2 linked regions of the Astyanax mexicanus genome follow. The protein of the gene in region 2 purifies or fractionates together with the protein of the main gene of each other region. This does not show direct contact. Links are inferred from orthologs where the notes say so. Each region holds a gene or a part of one and is shown on either strand. Other genes may lie near its edges. The genes, in order: mrto4 and gtpbp4.

Region 1 (14,956 bases), on a different chromosome or scaffold from region 2:
TCTGATATAAAACATCCAAGAGAAAAAGTCCATTGACCACACACTCCTCCTCCAGTTTATTCAATCCCTTCATCCTCCTCTTCATCATCCTCCTCAAGATCTCTCTGGTCTCCTTCATCACCATCCAACATCTCAAAGTCTCCAGATTCAGAGTTCCACATACACTTTATGCTCAATTTGAATTCGGCCATTTCAAACCCAAAGAGTTTCTGGAATAAATTAAGAGATCAGATCAGTCTCTGTGAATAGAATACTCTTCATTCACTTAAAATACACTCTTTAACATCACTTTTATTCTAAGTGTTTTTAAGGTCTTTATACAGATACAAAATACAGCTGCAAAGTCTCCAACAGATGAATTTTATATATAATATCATGCAGAAACATCTACTTAACCTGATCATTAATTAATGAGTTAATCCAAAGAGGCCAGCAAAAAAACACTGGTCTCTTTGGACCCAAATCGAAGAACCCTGATTTAGTGTAAACTGTACCTTCCTCTACAGCAAACTGACAGTTCATCATTATTTTTATTACATTTATTTTAATTCTGAAATGTACTGGGATTATCTAAATTCAATAAAACATGAAGCCACATTTTTTTAGGATGTGCAGAATAACTTTTTATAGAATTAATTACAACAGTATTACTTATAAGAGCAAGAAATACCCATGTGAAAATTAGAAACTAAAAAGTATAATTAAATGTATGGTTGCATAATGTATGCATTTCCACCTGTGAACTGCACATATACCTCTTAATGTTGTCTAGTACAGATTAGTACAGATCTTTTTTTTATGTTATTGTTTAAAAATAAATAAATAAAATAAAAAAAAAAATTCTCAATTGTTAAAATACGAGTGTTACAATTAAGATTCGTATTCCTCACACAGTTTACAACTTCAGTTGTTTTATTTTAAACAAACACCACCATGTAAAAGTGATGCACAAGCTGTAGTTTTCCATATATTTTATTCTTTTTTTTGTAAGCAGCCCCCTTTTATCTTAACTGCAGCATTTATTATATTAAACATGGTGCAAAAATAACCTCCTTGTATTTCAAGGAAAAGAGTGAAATATATATAATATATAATCACTGCAACATAAAAAAAGGTTCTTTACAGGTTTCTGACAGAAACAAATATCTATAAACTGAGATTCACTCTGCAGCTTCTATGTGTAAAGATGAACAGTCTCAATTATGCCATTTTGGAAATCACATTAAAACATTATTTTCATGAATTTAATTAATTAAATGAACCTCCCAGCCCTACTAAAGCCCGAAATGATGTCAAGGCTACTCACCAGGATACGAGCCTGTTCAGGAGTGAGCGTGTCTCCCTCTTTACACACTTCATAATCTTTTATTAATGTCACCACTCCTGCAAAAAAACACACATTATACATTTTCATTAGCATTTTGAAAATTCGGATTAAAATCAATGGAACAAATTAAAACAATTTCCCATTAATTTAAACATAACTGAGAGTCGAGGCTAGTGTCTGAAGCTCACCTCTTTAGAGTTATGGACTAATGTGGTTTATATGTAAATTAAGTTTGTAGAACCTGAACAGCACTGTGCAAACTATTCACTTCACTATCACTTATCTGATTACATAATCATCTCAAAGCTTACTTTTAACTAATTGCATCCTGTATCATTATGAATGAGGTGTTACATATAAATCAGCCTGGACGTCATAATATAATAAGAAATAACATGGTATTATATAAATCGTATTATACAGTCATAAGCCTGTCTTACAACATTAGGCAAGTTATTAGATTATTAGGTTTTATTTACATTTTTGACTAAACCTCCAAAGTTATATTATGTTTTTGGGTGTAATTACATTAGTGGGAACTTAACAAAATCCATGTACGTTAAAAGGAATCTCAAAAGTAGGTTTATTTATGTTTTTTCTTCAAATGTATGACACACTTATCCCTATAAATGACAAATGTATGTCACCTGGCTAAAACCAGCAGAATCAGCCTTAGCAAAAAAATGAAATTTGTCTGTACTGGTATGTTCTTTAGTGTTTAAAGTGTGTTCTTCAGTGTCAAAAACTACTTAAACCACCAACAGGACAGCATTTTTGTCAATTTTCTTTCTGATATTACCTGCATAAATCTTGAGGATTTCTATTAATTGATATTTCTATATTTTCTAATTTAGCGTTACATAAAAAGGTTTCGTGCATGATAAGAAACATTACTAAATATCCTAATTGTAAGAAAATATTTACACATTTAAAAGTAAACCTGTCTAAATAAAACAAATTAAAAAAAAAAAGTCAATGTGCTTTCTAAACCTTATTTTTTTTAAATCAATATTTTCATCATACAAACATTGCTTGTCCTCCAAACCTTTAGTTTCGTTACAGATGTCTAGTCTTTCATGTATACTTTCAGACATGCAGAATTTGGGTTTTTCCTTTTACTAATCTGAAATTAAGTAAAGTAGAAAGAGAGTGGACAGGAAGTTTCTCCAAAGCCCTAAAAGGTTTGTATGTAAATGTAAATAACTTTTTTTTTTATTGTAGAGAAATAGGGTTTTGTATCATCTACATTTGTAGCCTGTATACGGGCCAAGGCCTTTTAAGGGGATAAGCCAATCAACTGAGATTACTTAAAAAATTGACATTATTTGATGCATCTGCTGATTTAGGCATGAAATTTGACGTTGGCCTCGTAGTTGCTTAGCGTAGCTTAAGAAGCAAACAATGCGTGGTCTCTGATTTTATAATAGAATACTGTAAAATGTGATTTCTAGCAAAATCAGAGATTAAGTTGGTTTAAATCATTTTAAATGAAAAAACTTTTTCTCCAAAAGCTTTTTTTTTTTTACCTTTTTTGAGAGCCGTGGGCAGTCCTAACTGTCTGAGCTGGGGCTCCATAGAGTGTGTGAACTGTTCTAGCGGCCCTTCGTCCAGCGTCACCGCCATCTGTGCAACATTACCAGACCGTGCGTAATCTACCTCCTTGAAACTGTTAAAATACCTAAACAAGGACACAAACATTCAACACTGCATCAAAATGCGAGATTTGAGTTTATTTTAACCCCATACAAAAGCACAGTCTATGAAAGAAGATAATTAAGACAATTTATACTAAATCAAGGCAGGCAGACTTGGGTGCATCTTTTGGTTCAAAGACCATGTGTTTTTTCATAATTTCAACACTATAGCACTTACTCTTGGACCTCCTCCTTGGTTTTGTTCGTGAACAAGACGCCCACCTCTCCTCTCAGAAATTTGCTGACCTATAAGACAGACAAGCACAAGGTTGTAAACCCAGCACAAAAGCTTCTTCATAACTTTATTTGTGAATATAGTTAAATAATTTGCATACCCGGTGCAAATTATCCTTGTATTCATCTGTTGGTCCTTTCCCGAGTGCGATCATCATCACCTTATTCTTTCCAAAAAAGAAACTTAAACACAAAACATGCATTTATATTAGAAAATACACAACTTAGCATTCCAGCTGTGATAAAATACACTAAAACAACGGGGTTTCAGAAAATTCAGTAAAGTATATTTAGTATCTCTCACCGGCTGTGTTTCCAAGCTGCTCTGATATCTTTCAGTTTGTTGTTTCTCATGTTTTCCACAGAGAATATGAACACGTATCTGTATGTGTCTACACATTTTCTGAGCTGGAAGGAGAGATGATGATACACAAATTAATACATTAACACATATATCAAATCAGGCATTACAGAATATTGCATAGCATGAAATATAACATGTTAGGCACTATTTTATGGTCCTTTTATAGATTACAAATCTATCAACCTACCAACAAACCAACCTGATTATAGAATGAATATACTAGTGTAATATACCATCAGTAAATTTTACATTTCATTTGTAAATCAAGGGAGCAGAGTCTGGAGGAAGAGTGGAGAGACACACAGTCCAAACTGCTCGAGGTCTCGTGTGAAGTTTCCACCAATCAGTGATGGTTTGTTTGGAGAGTCATGTCTGTCATCTGCTGGTGTTGATCCACTGTGTTTTATTATCAAGTCTAAAGTCAGTGCAGTTTTGTTTTCCCACAAAATCTTACAGCACTTCATGCTTTCCTCTGCTACTGACAACTTTTATGGAGGTGCGGATTTTATTTTCCAGCAGGACTTGGCACACTGCCCACACTGACAAAAGTACCAATCGGTCTTATATAATATCCTTAAATTTTTAGATTTTTGGGTTTTTATTGGCTGTAAGCCATAATCATCAACAATAAAATAAATAGACGCTTAAAATAGATCGCTCTGTGTTTAATACATCTACATAATATATGAGTTTCACATTTTGAATTGAATTACTGTAATAAAATAATGTGAATAGTTTTCAATGATATTCATTTTTTTTAGATGCAATAGTATTAGCTCTCTAGATGTTGCAGGGAAGGTCATGGTAGGACACTGATAACATTTTAAAAACAGTAATGTTGCTCTTAACAAAAATTAATTGACGTAAATGTGGGGTGTATTAAAAATAACTAGACCTAATTTTACTAATATGAAGAAAAAAGAAAAAGAACAAAACACTAACCTCTTCAATCAGGTTCTGCTTTGCTTCTAGACCCTTTTTGGCTGTTTTTGTCAAGGAGACTGTAAAGAGAGAAGGTTGATTAATTAATAAAAAGGCACAAAACATATAAAAAAAACTGATCCACAGACCCATACTGAATAAGTTAACTGCGTTCACTAGTTCACAGCAAGCTAACAGGGGTAAAATAAGTGTAACACGTGTAGAAAGTTAACAAAGCATCACCAGCTACAGCCTAACTGTTAGTTAACTGTTATTTATGTACAGAAAAGGAAGAAAAGACAGAAAACAATCCATATTTTTACTAAAACTAAAACTAAATAATTAGTTCCTGCTTTGCTTCTAGACTCTTTTTGTCTGTTTTTGTCAAGGAGACTGTAAAGAGAGAAGGTTATCTAATTAATGAAAAGGCACAAAACATATAAAAACACATTACAACATGATCCACAGAGCCATACTGGATAAGTTAACTACGTTCACTAGTTTACAGCAAGCTAACTGTTATTTATGTACAAAAAAGGAGGAAAAGACAGAAAATAATCCATATTTTTACTAAAACTTTTACTAAAACTATTAAAACTATTTTGTTTTACTAAAACTATATAAATAGGTTCTGCTTTGCTTCTAGACTCATTTTGGCTGTTTTTCTCAAGGAGACTGTAGAGAAAGAAGGTTTATGAATTAATGAAAAGGCACAAAACACATAAAAAACAAACATATAAATACACATTACTACATGATCCACAGACCCATACTGTTTAAGTTAACTACGTTGACTGGTTTACAGCAAGCTAAAAGGGCCAAAATGAGTGTAAAAAGCTAACAAAGCATCACCAGCTACAGCTTAACTGTTATTTATGTACAAAAAAGGAAGAAAAGCCAGAAAATAATCCATATTTTTACTAAAACTATGTACATACACACAAACACACACACGCTGGTAGTGTTTAGCTCCTGCCTGTTAGCCAGGCATGCTGCCCAGCCGTTTCTCTGTAGGTTTTAATGCTAATCTAAGAAGAGTCAGTGACTTCTTTAAGAATAAAGCAGATTATTGAGGTAAAATATCGACGAAAACACTTTTAAACCGGTTTAAATACCTTTCTTATCCCTCTTCGACTTCGGCATGGCTCTCACGTTGCTCTCTCTCTTCTTCTAAGACTTAGAAACTGCGCTAAAACCCCGCACTGCCCCCTACCGCAGCCTGCAGAGCCTGAGAGAGCATGTGTGAAGCAGGAAGCAGGTATGTGATGAGAAAGTTACAGCTCTTCACCAACAGGTGGCGCCAAAATCAACAAAATAAATGAGTCTCAAATTTCCAATTTAATGCTTTCACTGATTTGGAGAATTCTTCTAAAGGATTGAATATAGTTAAACTATATTGCCCATTGTATTTATTGTATTTATCCCCCCCCCCCCCCATTGTTTATTTATTTAATAAAAATTCGCATTACCTGCATTTGCGTCCGCCTCCACGTCTTTCTGCCTGCATTCCCTGACACATTAAAACATTCATTTTACTGTGGAACGGATGTTGGATGATGTGCTATGGATTACAATGCCACTTTAGCTCATCCCTAATGCACTGAATGGAGGTCCATCACTCCATAGAACACAGTTCCACTGCCACACAGTCCCAAAACGCTCGGGGGTCGTTATACTCCTCTAGCCAACACCGTTCTATTGGTCAGTGCTTTTCTATGGAGCTTATCATACATACACTCTGTACAACAGTATGCCTGACTAGCTTTGTCAGCAGTATGTGCAGCTTGTAATAGTAACAGGAGGCCTGTCTGGATACTATTGAAAATATAATGTATTTACTGCAGTATTGCAGCCTGCTTCTTGCCACGGCTGCAAAACCTTTAAAATTACTCAATATGAACAAATATTTTCCATTACAACAATCTTTCTCAGTTTAAATTAGTTAATCTACAAAAGTGGATATACAAAGCATATTTTTATTGCTCTAAAGCAGAAGAATCAGTATTTTTTGCTAGGTAAGCTGTACAAAACACACATTTCCTCTGAGTAAATGTAAGGAGAGTTGCATCTGAGCCACTTTGTAGAAATCAGATTATAAAACAGCCCACGGTTATGTAAGAATGTACTCATATTAGGTGTGTTTCAAGAGCAGGTACTGAGATGCTTCAGAGAAATGATTATTTCTGAAGGATGCTCGAGACTGCACACGCTTGCAGGGTTATATAATAATTTGACTCTTCTCTAGAGATGATGGCTCATTAACCTTTATTATATAACGATGGAAAGACAGGTCATAACATACAGCAATAGGCTTTTAAGCTTTTGCAAAGAATGAATCATATCTTGTTACTGTGGCAAATATACAGAAACCCATCACATAGGATACTTTATAGTTCTATATAACTACAGACTGTAGTCCTGTATCTGTTTACTTTTCTATTTACATATTTTATTTGTTACTTTATTATTATTATCTTCCTTTCATCCAGTTTTTCACCACAGAGCAGCTATTACTGTTATTATTTTGATGGAAGGTCTTATTATTCTCAGCACTGCAGTGACTGTACTTGCATGGTGGTGGTGTATGAGGTGTTAGTGTGTGTTGTGCTGGTACAGGTGGATCAGATACAGCAGTGCTGTGTCTGTGACGTAGGCGTAGTTTTTTTTTAATGCTATTTTTATTTTATATAAAGTTGGTGTAATAATCACAATATAGCAAAGTAACAATTCAAACTATGTTCATAAAAAAAGTTGCACAAGTGCGCCGTGAACACTCCACTCTGCCTTACGCACTTGACTTGTTTGTGTTTTAATCTGTTGGAGATCTATTCTTATTCAAAAGGTTATTTTTACTGGAGAAAGTATTTTTTTTAGATGACTTTTTACTTCTACTCCTCACATTTTCACACAATTATCTGAACTTTTTACTCCCTAAATTTTAAAAATAGATTGGATGAGGAGTATAAACATATACCATTGCGACACCCTATTGGTTTATACTGTGATATACCTTTATACTTTTTTATATATTTTTATACCTTTTAACAAAACATAATGAATTCCATGAAGATTTATAAATTCTGGAACATTTACTTCTCAAATTATGACATTTTTGAGCAGCTCTATGTCTTCTGGTATGAAGGAAAATAATAGCATGTGGCTGTCTCCTAACATAACTGTGTTATTAAACAAGTCAAAGGGGAACTGACAAAATAGGCTGGGGTTCAAATGGTTAACATTTTAACCTAATATTATAGACAATATGGTTTAAATTTTTTTTTATACTTTAAGCAGTTTCACATTTTTACTTGAGTTAAAATAATATATATTATTTACTTTTATCAAAATCTATTAGTTTATGATCTTATTCCTCAGAATCTGAACGCATAGGATGGGCATGGAACGAATGTAGGCGTGGTTTATGCAATGGGCGTGTTTGTAGTGGGCGTGGCCTGTAGCCCTGCAGTCCGACTCCTGCCTCTGACCGGAGGGGGGCGTGGCTCTCGATGCGGTCACTGCGCTTTAGCGCCGCTGTAATACGACCCGTTATCTGCTGGATATAAACCAAGAAACCGGGCTGCTGAATTTCTGCTGCTGCTACTGCTGAAGGAGCACGCGGTGAGAGGAGCTGGAGGTGACAGCTCGGGGAGGTGACAGTGCTTTATTATTAGTAGTATAAAACGTGAGTTTTAAGTGATAAAAGCTGAAATAAAACTTTTATTTTATTTTTTTGCGATTTCTCAGGATGAAGTCGAGCTGACCCGCTCTTGAGACGCGAATTAACTAACTGGATGGACTGAATAATTACAAACTGGTTAAAAACTGCTGAAACATGCTGAAAAGATAGGAAAATACGCATAGTGATGGTGGAGTCACTCGCCGTCACTGTTCCGCTTGAGTTTGGAGGTTTATTGGATGTTTTAGACGTGGGCAGACGTTAAAAACAGTGGGTTTGGACTGTTCGGATAGCTAACTAGCGCTAGCTCTATCATACAGATAGAGCGGCTGGCTCCAGTACCGCAGCAGCCGTACCGCAGCGCTACACACAGTGGCTCAACCCAGGATGAGCTCGCTGCTATTCGGCGACGGTCTGCCCCCGGCCGCCGCGATGCTCACGACCCTCCCGGGAGGTATCGGTGGTATCGGAGGGTCCGGAGCGCCCGCAGCCGCCCTGAGGAACGACCTGGGCTCCAACATCCACGTCCTGAAGACGCTGAACCTGCGCTTCCGCTGCTTCCTCGCCAAAGTCCACGAGTTGGAGCGGCGGAACAAGCTGCTGGAGAGCCAGCTGCAGCAAGCCGCCGAGCGGGCCAGGTACCACAGCCTGTTCGCGCGGGACGTCGCGGTGCAGACCGACTCCCCGCAGGAGCCGCGGCTGCCCGGCACGATCTGGAGCTACACGCACGTGCGGAGGTCCGGGGAGCGGGTGGAGACCCTGCACGGGCCCGGGGTGTCCTGGACCCATCCGGACGGGGTCGGGGTGCAGATCGATACCATCACTCCGGAGCTCCGAGCCCTGTACAACGTACTGGCCAAGGTGAAGAGAGAGAGGGACGAGTACAAGAGAAAGTAAGTGTCCTGTTTAAATAAGGCTAGTTTATATTTTTAAATGATGAGTGATTTCAGCACTCCAGCATGTTTATCTTCATGTGCTTTCATACTGCATAAATTCATATATATGCATTACAGCCTACTGTGTTTATACTGAGTCCCAAATAGGGGGCCCTAAACAATTTTACAACATTACCATATGAAAAATAGGGAAAAAATATTTAATTCATTTCAATAATATACATACTTCTGCAACAAAACACATGTTAAAACATTGTTCTTCATTCATTTATTAATTTCGTTTTTGTTGTTTTGTAGCAACAGAAACTTAACAACTTACCTATTATTTTTTATTGCACTACTGTACAGATCTGGAAAAAATAAGAGACCATTTAAAATAATGAGTTTCTTTGATTTTACCAAATTGTGGCATAAAGTGGCATAAAGTTATCCAAAAGCAGTGTGTATGCTCATTTTACTCAAACATATACCTATAAATAGCGACATTAGAGAAGCAGAAACTAAACTGGTCTCTTATTTTTTTCCAGAGCTGTACTTAAGTACTAAAATACTGTATCTGTATCTCCTGGGGTATTATATTTACTTCACTACTGTACTTAAGTACTAAAATACTGTATCTGTATCTCCTGGGGTATTATATTTACTTCACTACTGTACTTAAGTACTAAAATACTGTATCTGTATCTACTGGAGTATTATTTTTACTTCACTACTGTACTTAAGTACTAAAATACTGTATCTGTATCTACTGGAGTATTATTTTTCTCCTACTTACACTTTTACTTTACCACATATGTTGGATGAGTTTAATAGTTTTCCTCCGATACATTTTTTATGTGCTGCATCATTACTCGTTACAGTTATTGATTACTCAGATAGAAATAGAAGAAGTATCAACTCATGCTTTTTCTCAAGTAAAAGTGTAATAGTAGTGGTTTCAAAACTAAACATAATTTAAGGTGAAATATGTGAGATATTTGCCTATGTGAGATAAAGGTCTTCTAAAGTTGTTTTCGAACAGTCTTGAATGTCTGGAACTTGTTGGCTGCTTTTCTTTTGCATGTGTGGTCTAACTCATCCCAAGCCATTTTAATTGGCATTAGGTCATGTGACTGTGGCAGGCAAACACTTTTGGTATTCTGCATTTTATCCTACAATGTAGAAATGAATAAAGATAACCTTTGACTGGTTCTGATTATATATGGCTTTAGATTGACTTAGATCTCTTGAGCCCCAGTCCAGGCCCAATGCTATAAAACCACAGCTGGTCCTGAAATTAGTTAATACCTACAAACATTGACTCCTTGAGTACAGACTGATTTACAGTACAGTCCTGAAATCTGCCTTTTTGTAACATTTCCCAAACATGGCAGGTCTACAGCTTAATAGAACTGCACTGGATTTAAAGCCTCTGCTCCATGTTTTTTGTTGCTGAAGGCAGACTGATTCATTGCAGTGGAATATCTTGGCAGCAGAACAGCAAAAATGACCAGACTGCTTTAGAGTGGAACCCAAAGGAAGGGGCGTGTTTTTAAAATGTGTTTTTGGAGGACAGGCTTTGATGAATAAAGGGTATTGAAGGCTCTTGGTTCAGCATAGCTAAGTAATTCATAGCCCACAGCAGGGGTCCTTAACTCTAGTTCTGCGAGGCTGGTGTCCAGCACAGTTTCCTTAGTCAAATACTGGATGTGGAATCACATCATGGAGTCGTTGAGTGATGGGATGAATCAGATATGTGTCAGCTGGGAAATTACTGAAATGGACAGATGATTTTCCTAGATTTTAGTAATATCACATGGTCATTCAGGTGAATTAATACTGTATTTGTAAGGATGTTATACTTACAAACCATGGAAGGAATTGAAAATGGTGCACCTTCTTAACTTTTTAAGTTTTCTAGCAATATTTTGATAAAATATACAGTCAAAGACGTTATTAATATGGAGACTATCTCTTGGAACACTAAACTTAGTCGCTGTTTATGGATAGTCAAAGTCAAGCCCTTCAACAAAAAGAGCCAATTCAGTCCAATAGAGATCAAGTGTTGGCATGCTGGTGGGGAAGCCTTTCCTCATTATGGAGATCTGTGCAAGCTCACTATCCATACCAGTATGAATAATCTCATTTTTTGTGCTTTATTAAGACAAACGCTACTACTAGTCTTTATCACGATTTAAAATGTCTTTTTTAAACAGTAATCTGACCTTCAGTTTCCAGAATTGTGGTCTCTCCCTATTCAAATAGATGAAAAGCTGGTCCTGCATAACTAGAAATAACTTAATAAAGTTGGTCGCCAAATTGATTGACTTTTCTGTAATGACGTTGTTCGGATCTTTGGCCGTTTGGATCAGGATAGTCACAATTACACAGTAACAGTCAGGCTTAGCAGAGTTGCACCAAGTTAGCCATGATGCTATAAGCCTGGCTCAGCAGGGTTGGAGCAGCAATGCTAACAGTTGGCCTAGGTAGAGTTGGAGCTGCAATGCTAACAAACATAGCATTCAGGCTGAAGATTCTAAAGTGTGTTTAGTAGCTGCTTTTCCTGGTCTTTGTAACACCATTGTAATAATCAAGCAGGAGAGGCTTAATAAACAATAAACAATTAATTTTGGTCTGAGATACTGGTGCATTAGCATGTGGCAGAAATTATTTACTCTCAGAACTCACATATTGTTCCTTTAAATAGTGTTAAATAGTTGTTTTTCCATAGTTGACTGGCTTTCTTATAATACATACTTGGACATTTCTTGGAGATACTTCTGTAAAACTTCTGGCTGTAATTACCTACTTATGGATACTTGATCATAAATGGCTAAGGTGTTTGAAGTTGTTTGGAAGGAATGAATATGGGACATTTAACTGAACAATTTTCTGTGGATATTCAGTACAGAATCATATCCTATTTTAACGCAGTGCCACCTGAGGGTCCGAAGATCACCAGCATCCAGTATGGACTGTTGGCTGACTTGTACTTTACACTGAATCTTTTGATGATGTTATGTACTGTACGGTATATACTCTGGAACCGTCCCACACTGGAGGCACTAGAAGCCCCCTACACTTCCCTGTTTTCCCCTCACACACAGTATCATCAGATAATTATCACATCTCTGAGCTGAATCACTTGTGGCAGAAAAAAGGAAACAGTAGTCGCCAGTTTATGAGAAGGAAACTTCTCTTCTGTGTTTTTCAGGCTTGTTTGTTTGTTAAGGGAGTTGCCTGGAGATGCTTCTGTAGAACTTCTGGCTCTAATGAGCAGCGACTGAGCCGTATGTGGGCGCTTGATCAAAAATTACTTAGGTGTTTGAAGTCATTTGAAAGGAATGTGGGACATTTCATCCTGTTCTCTGTATTTTTCTGCATTGCTCTCTTTTCTATGAGCTTTTGGGATTCATTTGCTTTATGAAAACAGTGGACATTCACCAACAAATGGCTGGCTAAACATACAGTATACTGCGTTGCCACTTTGTTGGGAAAACATACAGTACCAACACTGTATCAAAAGTTTGGAAACATCTCTTAATATTCAATGTGTTTTCTTTCTTTTAATGATTTTTTTTACATTGTAAATTTAATATGGAAGACTATTTAAAAACTATACAGGAACACATGCAGAATTATTCTGTAAACAAACAGAATATATTTTATACTTTAGATTCTTCTAAATAGCACATGTATCTTTGAGGACAAATCTGCAGACTCTTGGTGAGATTTTAATCTCAGTATCTTCATGAGGGAGAGTCCCCTGGAATAGTTTTCTCAGCGTCTTGAAGGAAGGAGTTCCTGGAGGTGCTGAACAATAGCTGCTGCTTTTCCTTCACGCTGTGAAGCTCCAGCTCATCCCAATTAAATCACCTCAAATCACCATCTCAGTTCATCAGGTTTAGATTAAGAAAGAAATAAAGAAAAACACTGAATGAGCTCTTGACTGGTATTGTACCTTATACCTGCAGCAGCTGGCTACCTACAATATGCATTATAAATTAAAATAATTTTTAAAAAGTATTTAGAAAGAGTTATTTGAATCATGTGGAACACAGGAACCCATTTTGGTTCTCATTTTGGAGAACCACTTATAAAGTTAAATGATCTTCACATCAGGTTTTTACTAGTGTACGGATGTTTTTTCATACAATGCTTTCTTAAAGAAAGTGTAAAGAACCTTCTATTAGGGAGTAAATACACTTTTTGTGGAGTTGTACATTTAAGACTTGATGTAATTATACGTATTCCCTATAAGGCAATGCAAAAGCATTTCTCTATAGCCAGGGGCCTCAGCTTTGGTTCTGGAGGCCAACTGTCTAGCATTTGTTAGTGCTTTCCCTGCCCCCAGCACACCTGACCCAACACCTGACCCAACACCTGACCCAACTAATCAATTCAGATACATCAAGTCTTTACCTAAAGTGTTAAGATAAAGTGGTCCAGTCTTGGGAAACACTGTTCTTTACTAATGAAGAAGAACCATGTTTAAAGAACCATGTTAAAAGCTTCTGTACCAGTCACAAATAACCCTTTAACTCAAAATCATTTCAGTGATTTAAAGTTTTGATAATGACATTTGATAATGAAATTTGAATAATGAAAAATAGATGAAGTAACACATTGCATGTAGGACCTTTATGTATCATATTTGAATCAATGAATCAATGTTACACTGACTGACTTTTTTACAGAACTGCCCTAAGGCCTTCTGCCAGCCGTTCCAAACTGAAAATTGTCCATTCCAAAATATTTTATTTTCATTACTGCTATATTTACGTAGGAATTTTCTACTGCTATAATGTCATGTGCTGGTAATTATTAGTTCCAATTCCACCATTAGCCAGTGATTGGCACAGTTTCCTTGCTTCCCATTGCCACTGTTGAAGCTCCACAGTTGACTGACATGGCGATTCACCATTTAAAATTATTTTCTTTAAGGCCTTTACCCACTAGCTCCTTTTTATTTATTTTTAAATGTTAAAAAACTACTGTCTTTTTAAATAAGGACAGCGTTTTTTGCAAAAACATCTTCCTTTACAAAGACAAAGTTTCTAGTACTTTTTAGTGTCTACTAATCCCAAGGAGAGGCTAGGCAAGGCTAGGAGAAGCAAATGTCCAGGTTAATTCTGTATTTTTCTATTACAATGATATAAAGAAACCTCAAATGTATGATATATAATACATTTGGCTGTACAGGGCTAAAGGAACCAAATCTGAAATTAACCTTAAATTCTTATTACCGTCATTACACAGACTGAGCTTCACTGTGTTTTATGCACAGTAGAGTACAGTTTTTTAAGACTGTGTGGAGTGTGCACACACACTACTAAAGCTCAGATTCTGAGTGCATGGACACATTAAAGGCTATCAGACACTGGTAGTAAATTACTGCAGTGTGAGGAGGAGAAGAGCATGAATAAAACATCTCCTTGCAGGGTGATTGTCTTCAGCCAGACGATCGCGTCAACTACTGTAACTACAGCGTGCTCCAGGCATTCCTGGGATGTCTGCAGGGACACACACACACACACACACACACACACACATATACACACACACTGATCTGAGAGCAGCTGCGAAAGCTTAAGAAGCCTCATTGTGTTGTGTTCAGTCTGTGGCTGTCCTGAGATGACCTTATATAGAATCCTTATGAATGGCTTTTCATTTGGGTTGTGAGGATTATTACTAATGCGTACCTGAGTGACCACACAAGAGCATGCCGAGATGTCAGCAGGGGGAAAGTGTGTGTGTGAGTGTGTTTGTGAGTGTGTGTGTGTGAGTCAGGGACTGTGCTGTGATGCTGTTATGGAGCTTCCCCTACTGCTTCTTCATCCAGGCATGTGCTGACTCACCAGCGAA
Region 2 (16,081 bases):
TATTAGCGAACAGGGGTCTGATGTTGCTGAACAGTTCGAACTGCTGTGAGAGGGTGTGTCCACACTGCTCAGAGGGGTCCATCACGTACAGCACAGCAGCCCGCAGGTGAGCAAGCGCTGTGATCGCCTGCATCTCAATCGTGTTCCGCTCTTCCAGAGGGTGGTCCAAGATACCTGGGGTGTCCACCACCTGCAGACGGTCAAGACAAGCATTTAGACCCTCCTCTGAACTAAATCCAAGGTCCACTAAGAACTCGGCACCTGTTTTATCCATTATCCATTTTTACTATATAACACTCGATTTACTTAAATGTTACAGCTGTACACATCAAGCACAAATGAACACATCCATAGATGGTCCTGACACTCCTTCTGCCCTGCAAATGTACAGCTTTCCTATCTCCCAACACACATGGTTCAACTAATCAGCTCATTTACAACCCTTTTTAGCAATATGCAGTTACTGTGTTAAAGCAGGCAATCCTCTCAAATGTGCTGGGTAGGGTGCACCACTACTAATACTATGGCCTAATCCTATTTCACCCCTTTGCCCTACCACTTACCCCTAGCCCTCTGTTTTGCGTGTGCATGCCGAGCATTAGGAGTGTCCAGATTCTTGTTAGGCTGGGGGGTAGGTTAGGGGAAGGGATAGGGCTTGTTAGGCCTTCATACGGAGATTTTTCAGAGGAACACTTAAAACTGAGGAGTATGAGAATCGCTAATAAGAAACACACAAATGTAAATATTTTCCCTGTTAAAAGTGAGAATTAGCACAGTATTACCAAAGTTTATTGTGTAGTTTTAATGTTTTATGGCCAAATGCTTCATAAAAAGATTGCTAGTAGTTTGTCTTAGTAGCTAGCTAACTTTCCCGCTCCACCTTAAAAGGCGCAACAGACGGCAGGGGCTGCAAAATTTAAGGCTTAACGAGAAAATAAAATAAAATCAAAGCAAATCAAAGCTAATTTCAGCTCCCCTTTACAGACAAATTAAGAAACGGACAATATTAATTAATTTTATCTCTCCCCTTTCTGAAGATATACAATTAGGCCTTAAAGTTATCTAGTTAACCAGCAGCAACTAGGTTGGGTGCTTGAGGATTGTCGCAATTCTTAGGGGGAGGATTTCACCCCCTAAGGGTTACACTCAAAAAGAAGGTGTAGGGGGCCTGAAGAATCCGTGTATCATTCGTTCATTTGATATTCAATTGAGAATCAAAATCGGAAAATTAAAAAACCAATTCGTTTTTTCGTTTTTTCGTTTTTGAATATAATACCAAAAAACGAATAACGGCTTGTATTTTGTATTTTTATTTGGTTATCCAAACAAAAATTGGAAATTTAAAAAACGGACCAGGAGCCGAATTTGATTTTGATTTTGAACTTGACCCATTTGTGTGCCCCGGAAGTTACTGATTTGTTTATTCTTGGTGGGTTTCTGTTGCGCGGGAGTTCACTGCAGTGTTATCTACACAGTCTGTATTGCTGTAGGCTTTGGATGGAGTTGAGGATGGAGAGTTTTATCTTGTTCAGAGGAACTAAACGCGTTGCAGTGAAAGAAGACGATATGACAACAGAAAAAATCGGCAGGATCTTTCAGGTGTTTGTCTAACGTTCCGTAGCTAAATGTCATATTTAGTAGGCGGCAATTCACAGAATAACATTAAATAAATATGACATTTAGCTACGGAACGTTAGACAAACACCTGAAAGATCCTGCCGATTTTTTCTGTTGTCATATCGTCTTCTTTCACTGCAACGCGTTTAGTTCCTCTGAACAAGATAAAACTCTCCATCCTCAACGGCCCTCTCCAATTCTGTGTTCGATACATGTCTTTTTCGCTTAAGGTCGTGTTGAACACAGAACCTTCTAACACTCATTGCAGAACATCGCTGGATCCCCATTTGCTGCAACGTGCACGAAATCTCTTCATGCGTCTTACCACCTTCAAAAAGATCTTTAATTAGGCCAGAATGTGGTTCCAGTCCGGCCATGCTGCCTACAGCAATACAGACTGTGTAGATAACACTGCAGTGAACTCCCGCGCAACAGAAACCCACCAAGAATAAACAAATCAGTAACTTCCGGGGCACACAAATGGGTCAAGTTCAAAATCAAAATCAAATTCGGCTCCTGGTCCGTTTTTTAAATTTCCAATTTTTGTTTGGATAACCAAATAAAAATACAAAATACAAGCCGTTATTCGTTTTTTGGTATTATATTCAAAAACGAAAAAACGAATTGGTTTTTTAATTTTCCGATTTTGATTCTCAATTGAATATCAAATGAACGAATGATACACGGATTCTGAAGCTTAGCTTGCTGTTGTTACTTAATATTTAAAACATTTTAAACTGAATCTAATATCCCTATCATAAGCATACTAGAATTTTCTTACAGCCTTTTATAGATACATAGTTAAAGCTTAATGAAGCAACATAACACTCACCTGCCAGCGCAGATACTTGTAGTCCATGTGACCCACAAACAGAGATTTAGTAGTGAAGGCATATGGCTGTACCTCCACATCTGCACGGGTTACCTGTGTGCACACAGTCCTCGATTATTACAACACAGACTGCACAAACTGTCTCAGCTCTGGTTACTAATAACATTACTTCTACTTTCACACAAACAAAATATTTGCACCCAGAAGAAATCAACCAACAGGACTGAAACTTGTTAATCATGCCTGACTGTCATGGACAAAGGCGACCAATAAATCAGTGTGTGGAGGCAAAGTGATCTGAGCCACAATCAATGATTTATTGCCATACATAACAGAGGGCAGAAGGCCTGGTGTCATGGTTTGGGGTTCAAATTCGTGCAATGCTAGATCACTTTTTGTCTTCATTACAGGCACTTTGACTGCCCAAAGTTATGTCAATGACGTCCTGCAACAAGAGGCCCTACTTTTCTATAACACACATGCAGTGCGCTATTCCAATGTCCTGTATTCTTCTGAGCTTGCCTTAAAGACACATATACATGCCATGGCCAGTTGCTTCAGCAGTCCTATCCCTGATTGATAAAGGGCAGGATGCTACTGGATTCACCCATCAACACTCCAGATTTTCCCAACTGTACAATCTTTAGGAGCCGAGTATGAATATTTTAGCTGCATGTGGATATGGATTATTACAGGACTCCATTAGGAACCTCTACAACTCCATGCAGAGACGTCTGGCATGTTGTGTTTCACGCCACTTATGTATGTGTAGCTTAATAAATAATGACCAATATTAGAATAATTACAATCTAACATCTTCTGGGTCCAACTTTTTTTTTTCAAAACATACACGCACCCCACAAATTATACCTTGAACTTAATAATGTTCCATAAAAAATGTAATCGTAACATTCTCATTTCCCTCTCTATCACACACACACCTTGTTGATGAAGCTGGATTTGCCGACATTAGGGTATCCACAAAGCAACAGTGTTCTGGTGTTTGGATCAATGGTAGGCAGACGTGAGAGATGCTGACGAACTAATAATATACAAGCACAAGAAAAAAAAAATCATTACTCATCCTCTGTAAAGTTAGGGACATTAGATGGCTTGCTTTGCTTTCATTTTGTGTGAGTGTTTACCTTGCTCCAGGTACTCCAGACTCTGTTTCTGTCTCTTTAAGATGGTACACATGCGTCCGAGTGCTGCTCTCTTCAGCTGCTTACAGCGATATAAAGAGTCGCCATACTTCATCAGGCGCACATAGTCTTTAGCAACGCTACATTAACACACAAGGAATAAACACATTACACAGATATATATATATATATTACACAGATGCCGTATTAGGTTTTCACCCGGATGATAAGGAAATCAGAAGCAAATTAATCATACTTGTAATATATGTTTAATAGTGACTTTTCTTTAACTAGACCTCTTACTAGAACTAGAATACTTACTTATCAATTAGGTTCTTGGCAATGTTGATCTGACCCAGAGCCAGCTTGTAATGGTCCTTATCGTACAACACATTCATCAGATCAGCATAGAATGGGTGGATATCCTAAAAGACAGGGAGAAAAAAAAAACAATACTTAAACCAAATGTAACACCTTCCAGATGAACAGAAACAAATAGACCAGCCACAATAATTACATCAACTTACAGTCTAATATACTGTATGTACACGACCTTAATACTATTTGCTGATATTAGCAGTACTGACTATATTAATCTTAGAAAGGAAAGCTCCTAAATGGCCGTGAAGGCGCCGATATGTTGACAAATTAATTTATTTAGGATATTTAAAAAATATGTACTCCAATAATGATGTCCAAATGGTCTTAATAATTTATATTTCATTGGTTCTTAAATGGATTGCACACAATTGTCTTACAATGACAATATATTAATAAAATAAATATTCTATAAACAATAAAGCTATTGTAACAGCTATTGTATTGTAACAACATGCAATAGCAATTTCCATGTTTAACTGCTTTAACTCACATCCAGCTTTGGGAAGTCAGTGAGGATCTGCGTCAGGCGGTCGTGGTAGTTCTGCTGGGTGAACTTGACCTTGCGCATGTAGAAATGACGGATGCGGTGGATCTGATAGTGTTTATGGATCACAGTGGGGGTTTTACGTTGTGTTTTGGACAGCGTCACATCTATGAAGTCCTGTCAAAATAAACAGAAGAAAAGGGATTACATTTAGGTACATCACATACAAATGACTACTGTAGATAATGCACATCTTGCTAGGTTAACACACTAAATATATTAGCTTGCTATTTATATTACCTGACTAGTTTATCTAGTCTTTTATTATAAAACAAAATATATACTGGTAAAAAAGGTCACATCTCTTGACACATTAAATACATACAGCTAGCAGGCTAACCATGTTCTATAGTTATAGATGAATACATTCTATTTTCTATATTTTGTTTAAATTTTAGGAGGTATCACTTAATGTACATAGGTTATATATTCAGAATTCCAGTACTAGTACAGAACATTCCCAAAACATAGGGCTCAAACCACCACTGGTTGTTTCACACCGCTAACAACCAATCTCATCTATAACATCGAAGATATAAGTTAACTAGCTATACTATTTATATTAATTGTGTATAGCTAATTAACCTATTTTATATGGTGTTAGGTAGGTTAGTTGTATAACTAACCATTTGGTCTTTGAGGCTAATATAGGCTACTAAACTTGATGTGTTAAGTAAAAATACATTTCCACAAACATTGCACTGTTTATAATTTAACCATTACAAAACATTATCAATAGGTACGGCTCAAAATCTATTTTGACAAAAAAAAGCATCACATCGGGCTACCGATGTTCTAAATCTATAGTAGCTATAGTTAGATATAATTTAATTTATCAGTTTTAACAGAAGAAATATGTTTAGGATAAAGATATGTCTATATTTTCACATCTGTGACATTTTAAATACATACAGCCAGCAGGCTAGCAATATTCTATAGCTGTAACAGCTGTAAATATTTTTATTTTTTATCTGTGTTTTCAACAGAAAAATAAGTCTTTATGGTAAATAAAGCTATTTCTATATTTTGTGTGAATTATGTGTGGTGTCACTTAATGTACTCTGGTTTTAAATCCAGAATTCAGGGACTAGTACAGAACATTTCCAAAAACACAGGGCTCAAATCACCACTGACTGTTTATACCTATATCTAGCTAGGTTAACACACTGAATACATTAGCTATACTATTTCTATTTACTGTGTATAGCTAGTTAATCTAGTTTACATGGTGTTAGGCAGGTTAGTTTAGGTCTGTGCGGCTAATATAGGCTACTAAACTGAATATGTTTGGTTTTAATATAAATAAAACACAGAAATTACATTTTTGGAAGTGTGGGTCAGTCATAGGAGCTTTAGGTTAGTTAGTGGTGCTGGTGCTGCTAAGGCCGCAGGTCCGGTTAGCACGAGCTCTTTAACTTAGCCCGGACCAACGGCAGCACGTGTCTATAACCCTCGAGCGCCCGACCAGCGCTAACACCCCCCGCTCGCGCTGTATTAACCCCCGTATAAACCCGCGGGGCCGGGGCTCGGGCCCGGCAGCTCGTACCTTGGCGGTGGGGACCACCATGATCTTTTTAAAGTTGTAGAGCGCCATGTCTCCGCGCGCCGTGCTCCGCTCCTCACCGCCGGAAAAGACCCAGTACAGCTCAACACGCGGCCAAGCGTCAGCCGCGCATGCGCACAACAGCGCAGACACGCACGCGAGACAAGCACGCGCCCACACTGCCACCACGTGGTTAAACACATGGCTGGTTTATGTAGTATGGTCTATGTAGTTCTATTAGCTGCAGATTGTAGTCCTTTATCTGTTTCTCTCCACATTTAACATGTTTAAGGTGGTTTAATAATGTAAGACATAAGATAGATCGACATTATAGCATTAATATACTTATATTGTTAGCTAAATGTAAAGTTAAAGTTAAGAAGAACATCTCACTCTTAATGGTCTTTGAATTTTGCACTTAAAAATAACATTGCTGCCAATGTACAGTCTGCTAAAGCTCACATAGCTACTGGAAGCATGTTTTGTGGACAGATGAATATAAATATATATTTTTTATTAATGGAACAATACATTCAGAACTATTCCAGCAAATTCAGTAGGAAACTTTAAGGACACAGGTCTGGGAGCTGAATCTCACAAAATTGTGGGTCATGCAGCAAGACAATGACCATAAGCACACAAGTTGTTCTAACAAAGAATAGTTAAAGCAGAATAAAGGTAATGTTTTGTAATGGGGCCAAGTCAAGTCAAAGTGTGATAAATTCAGATAAAAATGTGGTCAGTGGAGCTGAAACAGCAGTTCATTTAATGAAATGGCAATGAAACTGTTCTGTATGGAGGAATCTATATGGTTTACATGCTTTAAAGCATGGTATTACAAGTTAGGCAAATACTTAAAAAAATCCATTACTTCTGCTCTACTGCCCCCTATTGTTTTAGACCTGGATGATTGTCCTTTGCAATATAAACTAAGGACTGACACTGGACTCATAATAGTTTACAGTCTGCAAAAGTACATTCTGTCAATGGTCATTTTGCTCACAAACAATAAGCAAACAAAAAATGTCTTTGTGTTGGACTTATAATGAAGTGTTGTATTCATCATTTAAAACAGCACATTTGCAAAAGTGTGGATATCCAGGAAAAGACAACCAACAGTTTTTTTTTTTCAAAATATCTTTAATTTAGACATTAAAACACCCAGTTGCAGTTTTTTTTCTGATAAGAAAAACAGTTTGAAACACTTTGAAACAATACTTAATTCCTCTTCCATTATTACTTGAATCCAGTGTAGAAGACACACAGTCCCTTTAGTGCAGATCAGCAGTGAGACGGTTTCCACTGCGGGTAATACTTTTTCACTTTGTCAATACTTCTCCAATCTCCAAAACACAACTTGTTTCGATTTCGTGTGAGAGTGTTCAGACCTGTAGGGTTGAATCTTTACAGTTGTTTTTAAGAATGAGAGGAAAGTTTGCATAGTATAGTTTCCAGTTTGAGTCCCAGCTTATTCCTCCTTACTGCAGTCCACAATACCTGAAACTGATATGAACAGCCCAATTCACTAATCAATCAACCAATCAAGCCACGAGGTGAGTGACCAATCAGAGGCTTGGTGGACTAGAATGTGAGTGTTCCCGCAGTACCAGCAATACCAGAGTCTTTTTAACGGTGCTGACGGATGAAAACACACTAGATGACAATGAGAGGAACTGACAGGACTGGGGACAGACAAGTGTGTGCAAAAAAACCCTGTAAAATGTATCAATATAATCAAGAGACTTTGTGCGTGTACGGGTAAGAAGAAAGGGATACAGTACTGGCTCCGTAAAAACAACCATGAGAGAGAGAGAGAGAAAGAGAGTGTGTGTGTGTGTGTGTCTATACTCATCATAAAAAATAATAGTTACCCAGAAGGAATCATTCAACAGGAACGTGACTTAGTGGGTAGATGGTCATAGTCACATTTAGATGGTCAACTCTCCACCTCTACAGCTAAGCCTGCAGGAATGGACAACTCCATACTGAGACGTCTGACATGTTTTGTTATGTCTGGTTCACAATATATGTCCTTTTGAGTCATCAGGTCATTGTGTTGTTCACACTACACAACTGGTTGGGCTGTAATTGCGAGTCGTCTCACAATTTTCTTCATCTGCCTTCTCTCAAAAACGTGTTTTAAACGAGAAGCAAGAGCTAAATGCACGCGAGCACTAGCGATGCCACGTAGAAGATATCTTGGTTATCAAGTGGTTCTTTCTTTTTATGCTATACTATTGGCTGTAGGTAGTCAAGTTCCTGTTCACTGTTAACTCACTGTTGCCGACTGGTCTAGATATTAAACCTGCTAGATATTTGCTTGGTTTTTACCACTCTTCGTTAATCACTCTGTGACAGCTCTGCAATTGCTTTTCTGCAGTTTACAACACAACTGAACGAGAGCTTCTGAACTGAGTTTTTTTGCAAAAAACAAACAAACAAACAAAAAAATTAATGCTGACCAGAAGGCTTGTGTACTGTGACTCGTGGTCCGACATCAGACAGAGAGATGCCACCTCTGTATGTGTAGATCAATAACTAATGCCCATATCAAGTTTATTTATTTTTTTGTTATTATTTCCTGATCCTTGGAACATTTATCGTCCTTCAGAATAGCAATCCAACGTTTCCTTCTGGGTGCAACTATTTTTTTTATTTTATTTTTTTTTACTATGAGTGTGTGTGTGTGTTTGTGTGTGTATATATGCATGTAAAAGAAGAAGGAGATACTGGCCATGGGTCTGTGTAAGGATAAGTAAAGAGGTACAGGTCCTTTTGAGGTATTGAGTCCAGTGTTTTCCAAACCTTGTGCATGAGTGCGTGTCTAATTCAGAAGAAAAAGGCACCAGCAATGGCAAAGATGAGGGAACTCTTCACATTTGGACATTTGGAGCAAAGCTGGAAACTCCACCTGTTCTTCAGGTATGCATGTCCTATAAGTATGTTTAATAATGCGCGTGTGTGTATGTGTGTGTTTATATCTGCAAAATTCCTCATATCTCATATCACCACCTTCTCCAGAGACCTGATCGGTGGAGTTATTGCTTTCAGGCCATTGCCAGGACAACTGTTGCCACGACTGAGGGGCTGACCGGATGCTATTATAGCAGTGTGGCAGGGTTCAGGGGGGCGGGGCAGGAAGACGGGACAGGAACGTGTACGGGCGTGACCCTTGTGCCCCCCTGCGTGGCAAATCAGCTGGCTCACTGTGTCCAGTGGTGATACGGGGCGGGTGTGCGAGTGCGTGTGGTCCTCGCGCCGCTTCAGCGAGTACCAGGTGAGGAAGATGAAGAGGAAGCCCAGGAACTTGAGGCTGGCGGCCAAGCCAAAGTAGACAAAGCGCAGGGAAGTGACATCATACTCCCAGCAGGAGCCGTGAACGCCACAGTCCTGCTGCCACAGCATGCAGGTGGTGTCAATCACTGCGCCAAAATAGATGGGAGTAGGTATGTAGGCTGGAGGGAGAGAGACGAGTACAGTTAGTTCATTTTCTCCCCAATCATTTAACACACTTTTAAATTTAACATGTAAAATGACACTGATACTGATTTTATGTGGTTTAACATTTGTATAAGCATAATAATGGCTAATTTGATTGACATATGACCACATATAGACCTACAGACATGCAGTTCAAAATAGTTAAGCAGTTGTTTACTAGCTAATATTTTAATTTCCTTTTAAAAAATACAGTTATGGAAAATAATGAAGAGACCACTTCAGTTTCTGATTAAGTTTCTCTGATTTTGCTATTTATAGGTATATGTTTGAGTAAAATGAACATTGCTGTTTTATTCTATAAACTACAGACAACATTTCTCACAAATTTCAAATACATACATTGTCATTTGGCACATTTATTTGCAGAAAATGAGAAATGTCGGAAATAACAAAAAAAGATGCAGAGCTTTCAGACCTCAAATAAGTTCATATTCATAAAGTTGTAAGAGTTCAGAAATCAATATTTGGTGGAATAACCCTGGTTGGTTTTTAATCACAGTTTGCATGCATGTTCTACTCCACCAGTCTTACACGCTGCTTTGATAGTCACACTCAATATAAACAATGTCCTACATTATATTACACTCATATTATTCGCCTAATAATTTTATACAACACTTTTTGCGTGTGTCCATACCAAGAGTCCTGAGAAGAACAAACTGCATTCCCAGAGCAAACGGCCGCTCCTGTTCCTCCACAGACCTATGGATAAATAAGGATAGATATGTATTTTAACCACAAGCTCTCACCATTTTCACGTGTAAACATTAGAAATGTCATTGTTGGCAAGGTCAGTAAGTTGGATGACCACTACCCCACCTCATCCAACTCCCCAACTCATCCCAGAAGTACTGACTGGAACACCATCATTCCAGAGATCAAAGTTCCACTCCCCAATGACTCAAGGATTAAAGTAAAACTTAACGTGAAGCACTGCTGTCACACTGCATACCACTTACAAAGCGTGAACTATTCAGACAGATGTCAGACATTAAATAGATGGTGTGAACAGCTTAAACTAAATATCAGATTTAGTCAGAAAATAAGATTTTGGCAAAAACACATTTTGCTGTGAGAATCTTGCCAAATATTTGGCAACCAAACAGTGTAAGACACAGAATAAAATAGAAGATAAAATAAATTAACCATTGTTTTGTATAAATTATTTGAAGTCTTATTGCAGGGTTTCCTCTAACTTCAGGATTTTTTTTTAAATCACTGTTGGACAGAAAGGGACAATTTAAGTTTACAGGCTCTATTCGAACAACATAAAGTGCTCAGCATCACTTTTCACTTTTGTTTACAAACTGTCTGTTTTCCAGCTGAAAGATATGAGCTGTACAAGGCAGGAAAGTAACATTAGCTGAGCATTTGATTGTTTATCAAAAGACTGCCTTGATCTGTGTAAATTTTCTGACTTGAGTAGCATTGCTGAGATAAATGTATGGTTAAAATTGCACTGCTGAAGTAAATTCATGTTTAGGATAGCACTGCTGAGGTAAATTCATAATTAAAGTACAGAGGAAAGCATGACAGATATAGATTAACCACTCATTCAATTGTTAAAATGGCAAAATGTATACGTTTTTCTACATAGAGAGAAAGCCTGAAATATACCTGAGGGTAACAATGATAGCCGAAGGCTGGGCACAAGCAGTGATGAGGGTGACGATGAAGAGGAAGATGAGGAAGGTTATGAGAGTTCCACAGGTGCGCTCGCATTTGCCAGCAAGCGCATAGCCATTCTCGTTTAAGTACGTCTTCACAATGACCAGTTGCAGCTCGTGATTTCCTCCGGAGGGAGTGATCACCTGTCTGCTCTGTACACACGCACAGTCCGAATAGTTCTTCATCTGTAAGGAAAAAAAAAGGATTACTATGTGTGTATTCACTGTCTAAAGAAAATGAATCCATATGTTGTTTTCATGGGAAGAATTTGTTTAAAATAACTGGATTTTATTAGGGCTATCATGATTAAGTATATTAATAATTGAATAATCTTACTGCTAATTTATTACATATATGTTTTAACAGGTTATATCGACAACCCAAACTTTATGCAGATTTACTTGCTTATCCAAACAAAGCTTTATGTGATCACAAAAAGGACTGCTTATAACCTGCATAATTGACATTAGGGGTGGGTAATATGGCTCTAAAATAATATCACAGCATTTTATGGTATTAAAACATTGAATTAAAAAAATAGAATATTAAATATATATTAAATAAGAAAACATATTTCAAGAGTACACTACTGCAACAAAATGAAAATTACATTTTATTATTGCATAACATATGATATTGCAAGCTAATTGAGACAAGAATGTTATCAGATTTGTAACAGAATTAAATGATCCAGAATGTTATGATACTAATAATGCACTCCCAATATCTCCATATATCCAAAATAAAAGTAAAATAAATGATATATAATCTGTCTCTAGTAGATATTAAATGTGAAATGAGAACAGTGTGAAATTTTCTTTTGATAAACCCAGTTAAAAAAAAAAAGTAGTACCCTGATGTGATAATTAGGGGTGAGTGATATAGCACGATATTTCAGTGTAAAATGTTGTTCATGATATTCAAAAACGTTGGCGAACGATACGGTATGGCACAACCCTACTGGACATACTCACACACATTAGAGAAAAGTGCTTTGGTAACGAATAATGTAGACACAGTAATAATATTGCAAAACTGACAAGATAATTTTTGGTCCTGTTTAGTCTTAATATAACATTATATCCAATACTTTAAAAGGAATATTGCTCGTTTTTCTTCTACATTTCTTCTATAATTTCCTGATCTGAAATGTGTTTAATTTAACAGATATGTATTTAATAAGTGTGTACATACACTTTACATTATTAAACACTAGACTAAAACTAACAATAACTAAATCTAATACACTTTTTAATGAAAAGATCAAAATCAATAAATTAAATTAAAATTAACAATGCTGTGTGTGTTACAAGTGTGTTGTCCTGACATTTGTTATTTATCACACTGGGAAATAAAACTTTTTTAGAGACAATATCATTACTTAATCAAACTGAATTGATTTAAGCAAGTGAGACGGAACCATAAATCCTACATTTTATCAGAGAATTCTAAAATGTTAGTCAATTTATTTATAATTATAGTACATTTTAAACAACATTACTTGACCAAAGTGCTGCACAAATACAAACATTAGACTACAGTACATATAAATCTAATTTAAAAGAAAGGAAAATATCAGGACATCAGTCCATGAGCTGAATCTTAACAGAGAAGGTGGGTCATGCAGCAAGACAATGACACAAGTTGTTCAACTAAGTCAAAGTCCTGAACTTAATTCAATCGAAATGTTGTGGAAGCACCTAAAGTGAGCAGTTAATGTGAAGAAACCTCTTTCGGGCCATTACAGGATAGATACATTTTTGCATTTTCTTTTGAGAGAAATATTGATTTAAAATCTCGAAACTCTTTTGATCAAAACTCTGTTAGAAATAAGTATAAGCCCTTACTCCTGAGCTGTCGTTGGAGACACTGTTGCAGCCAGCCAGGCAGGGGTTAAAATACGTAATTCCATCTGAACCGCACACTGGAGCGTAGTCATGCATCCGGCAACCACAGTTCACATTACACCCTCCAGTTAGATTCCGATGAGACAAAGTCAAGGTAGGCCTGAAAAGAGTGTGAAGGGAGAAAGAAATAGAGAGAGAGAGAGAGAAAGAGAGAGAATAATCAAATTAGGCAAAACAGTGGATTTTATTTTCCAGCAGGACTTGGAACTTGGAGTTCCACTAGTACATAATCAGCTGATATATTATTTGCTGATAAATGAGTAAATAGATCATTGATGTTGAATATTCATACCCAGTAGTGTAGGGAATGTTGATTCCTCCTAAATTTATGCTCTCACAGCCAACGATGAAAAGTGTGGAGAAACAGAGCAAAGACACTCCACTACAGATCATGGCTAGTTTAGCCGACTCTCTCGCGCCCAGCTTCAGCTTCTTTATGATATATCCTCCCAGCACTATCCCCACACCAGCACTCGGCACAATGATCAACCCTGCAACACACACAACACCACAGGAGAGAGAAATAAACACTTACAGTAGGGTGGTGTGATTACTTGTATTTTCTTCTTTATCACAATATGGAGGTAGAGTGAGGCATAGTTTCACAAAGAACCCACACACCAAACTTCTACTTAACCTGATGTAGTAGCAGCATCCCCATTAGTAGCAGCAGCAGCAGCGTTTCAATAACTACTAAACCATAAACCATGTTTTTTCCAATAATAGCTAAAATGTGTTCCTTTGAAAGTAATTAAACATACCAGACCTGCTTAACATTTTTATGAACATTTTCTAACCTTAAAAAAAAGCCTTTTATTGTAGACATTTCTGCCTCCGCAGTGCTCTCTCAGGTTCAACTGTGCTATAGGCGTGGAGGATGTTTCTGTGTACTTTGGTACACAAAACACTCACAATATGCAGATCAGTCTATCAATAATAACGCCCCCCCTGCTGACACCCAACCACCTGCGTCTCACCACTATCAGAGGTACACTGCTGCTGCTGCTCAGCCAATCAGCTATTCCTTCTGCTTATCTCTAAACCCATACATCATCCAGGGCCTCTCCCAAACTACCCCTCCCATTTTTCAGGCTTTTTCAAATATGAGTTGAGTCAACTGCGGGTTTAGTGCCCCTTTAAGACACAAAACCAAGCAAAAATTGCATCAATGTTGCTGCTAACCCATTCAAGGATGACTGCTTTGTCTGTTAGCATCACAGCACTAACATGCTTACACCTAGTCCACTCTGTTAAGGTAATAATATAATGACTGGCCACTCTGTCTGAACCCTTTTCCAATGTTCCCTAATTAAGATTAATTAATTAATTTATTGCTTTTTACATTGACATTGTGATACCAAACAGCGTTACTGTATATCAATTTTTGTTCATATAGTGTGCCACTAATTTATAGCACAGCCATCTGTGTAGGAGTTCATCTATGTAAGATTTGTATTTATTTTATTTCTTTTTACCTGTGTAGATGCTGGCACTGGATGCTGGAACCCCAAACTGGGATTCAATGAACTTGGGGATGAAGGTGATGAAGGCTGTGACGATGGCACACTCCGCTGTGTACGACAAACTCACGAACAAAAACGTCACATTGCTTAGGATACGTACAGCTGCCTTCGGCAAGTCTAGAGGGGAAAAAAGAAGCCAGAGAGAAAGAGACGAGAAGAGAGATTTAATTTCTATACGATTATAGACCTTCATTTGGCTTGAGTACAAAGTAGACAAGGTAAGTGATATTAATTGAGAGATTAATACTCAGCTAATCTAACACCCCTTTCTCTGTTCCATTCATAATAGACAATATAAAACATCTGCAGTATCTTGCAAAGTGAGTACACCACTCACATTTGTGTAAATATATTATTAGATCTTTTCATGGGACAACAGATTGGCTTTATAAAAATAATTGCTGCCAGCATTGCTGCAGAGCTTGAAGAAGTGGGAGGTCAGCCTGCAGTGCTCAGTCCTTCCGCCACACACTGCATTAACTCTGCATTGCACTGTCTGCATTGCAAGAACGGAGCCTCTTCTGAAGCTGATGCACAAAAAAGCCTGGAGCTGGGCAGGGGAGTGTACCGGTGTTTTATGAGGTGCTGGACTGCGTGCTGGGCTCTCCGACTCCGTCCACATCAGCAAACAGTGCCGGTACGTTTACTGAAAAGCATCGCGGTTCTTATGAGTCCAAACAGAACTAGAGATCTTTTGATGGAAAAGCGCTATAAGATGACAACTGACTTGCTGAGGAAGCTAAAGGTAAAGGTGATGGACTGGCCAAGCATGTCTCCAGACCTAAACCTTACTGATTTGTGGGGCATCCTTAAATAGAATGTGGAGGAGCACAAGGTCTCCAACATCCACCAGTTCCAAGCCTTCAAAAATCCGTTACAGATATATAGCAGTGGATCAATAAAGTTTAGCAACCATAAATGCTGCAGCCTCTGCTGTCTGTTGCAAGTTTTTTTTTAAATGCTTGTTATAAAGAAAATGGCCATAAAACATTTAACTACACATTAAGCTATGGTAAAATAGTGGTTTTCATCACTTTTAACAAGGAAAATACTCAAATATGTGGGTTTATTTGGTCGCTTGTGTCCCATCTTGCTAGTGATGGGACAACCCACTTTTTTCCACCTCCGATCCGATTCCGATATAAAACTGATATAAAACTGCCGACACCGATACAAATATCGATACTTTCAGTTTATTAATAGTACTATGATTAAGATCACATAATGAGGCTGAAACAGATCACACACCCCTTTAAATAGTATACGCAAGTGCATTTAATGTAAATGCATTCCAAAGTCATTTATTTGACACACTTTATATGCAAGTACACAATAGTTTCTTTTCAAATTAAATGTTTTAATTTTTATTAAATTTTTTTAAAAAGTTAAATATTAAATACAGGGCTTTTTTGTTTGCAACAGT

What was found.
Region 1: the proteins of gtpbp4 (region 2) and mrto4 purify together in Homo sapiens (affinity purification with mass spectrometry; 3 studies listed by BioGRID and IntAct, counting the BioPlex papers as one, with this or other methods). This does not show direct contact. The link is inferred for Astyanax mexicanus from reciprocal best matches to the Homo sapiens genes GTPBP4 and MRTO4.

What each region holds. Positions count from the first base shown.
Region 1 is NC_064431.1:3,982,185-3,997,140, reverse strand, and holds the start of mrto4 (mRNA turnover protein 4 homolog), read right to left. Parts: upstream 5,782-14,956; 5' UTR 5,684-5,781; coding exon 5,656-5,683; intron 4,621-5,655; coding exon 4,562-4,620; intron 3,664-4,561; coding exon 3,560-3,663; intron 3,439-3,559; coding exon 3,357-3,438; intron 3,268-3,356; coding exon 3,200-3,267; intron 3,006-3,199; coding exon 2,854-3,005; intron 1,384-2,853; coding exon 1,307-1,383; intron 210-1,306; coding exon 57-209; 3' UTR 1-56. Other genes in the region: iffo2b (intermediate filament family orphan 2), read left to right, coding at 8,604-9,109. UniProt on the Homo sapiens protein: Component of the ribosome assembly machinery. Nuclear paralog of the ribosomal protein P0, it binds pre-60S subunits at an early stage of assembly in the nucleolus, and is replaced by P0 in cytoplasmic pre-60S subunits and mature 80S ribosomes.
Region 2 is NC_064411.1:28,251,467-28,267,547, forward strand, and holds the start of gtpbp4 (nucleolar GTP-binding protein 1), read right to left. Parts: upstream 6,206-16,081; 5' UTR 6,111-6,205; coding exon 6,063-6,110; intron 4,634-6,062; coding exon 4,463-4,633; intron 4,017-4,462; coding exon 3,913-4,016; intron 3,732-3,912; coding exon 3,595-3,731; intron 3,492-3,594; coding exon 3,391-3,491; intron 2,543-3,390; coding exon 2,450-2,542; intron 191-2,449; coding exon 1-190. Other genes in the region: slco5a1a (solute carrier organic anion transporter family member 5A1a), read right to left, coding at 9,060-9,514, 10,198-10,262, 11,178-11,413, 13,076-13,235, 13,428-13,626, 14,611-14,775. UniProt on the Homo sapiens protein: Involved in the biogenesis of the 60S ribosomal subunit. Acts as a TP53 repressor, preventing TP53 stabilization and cell cycle arrest.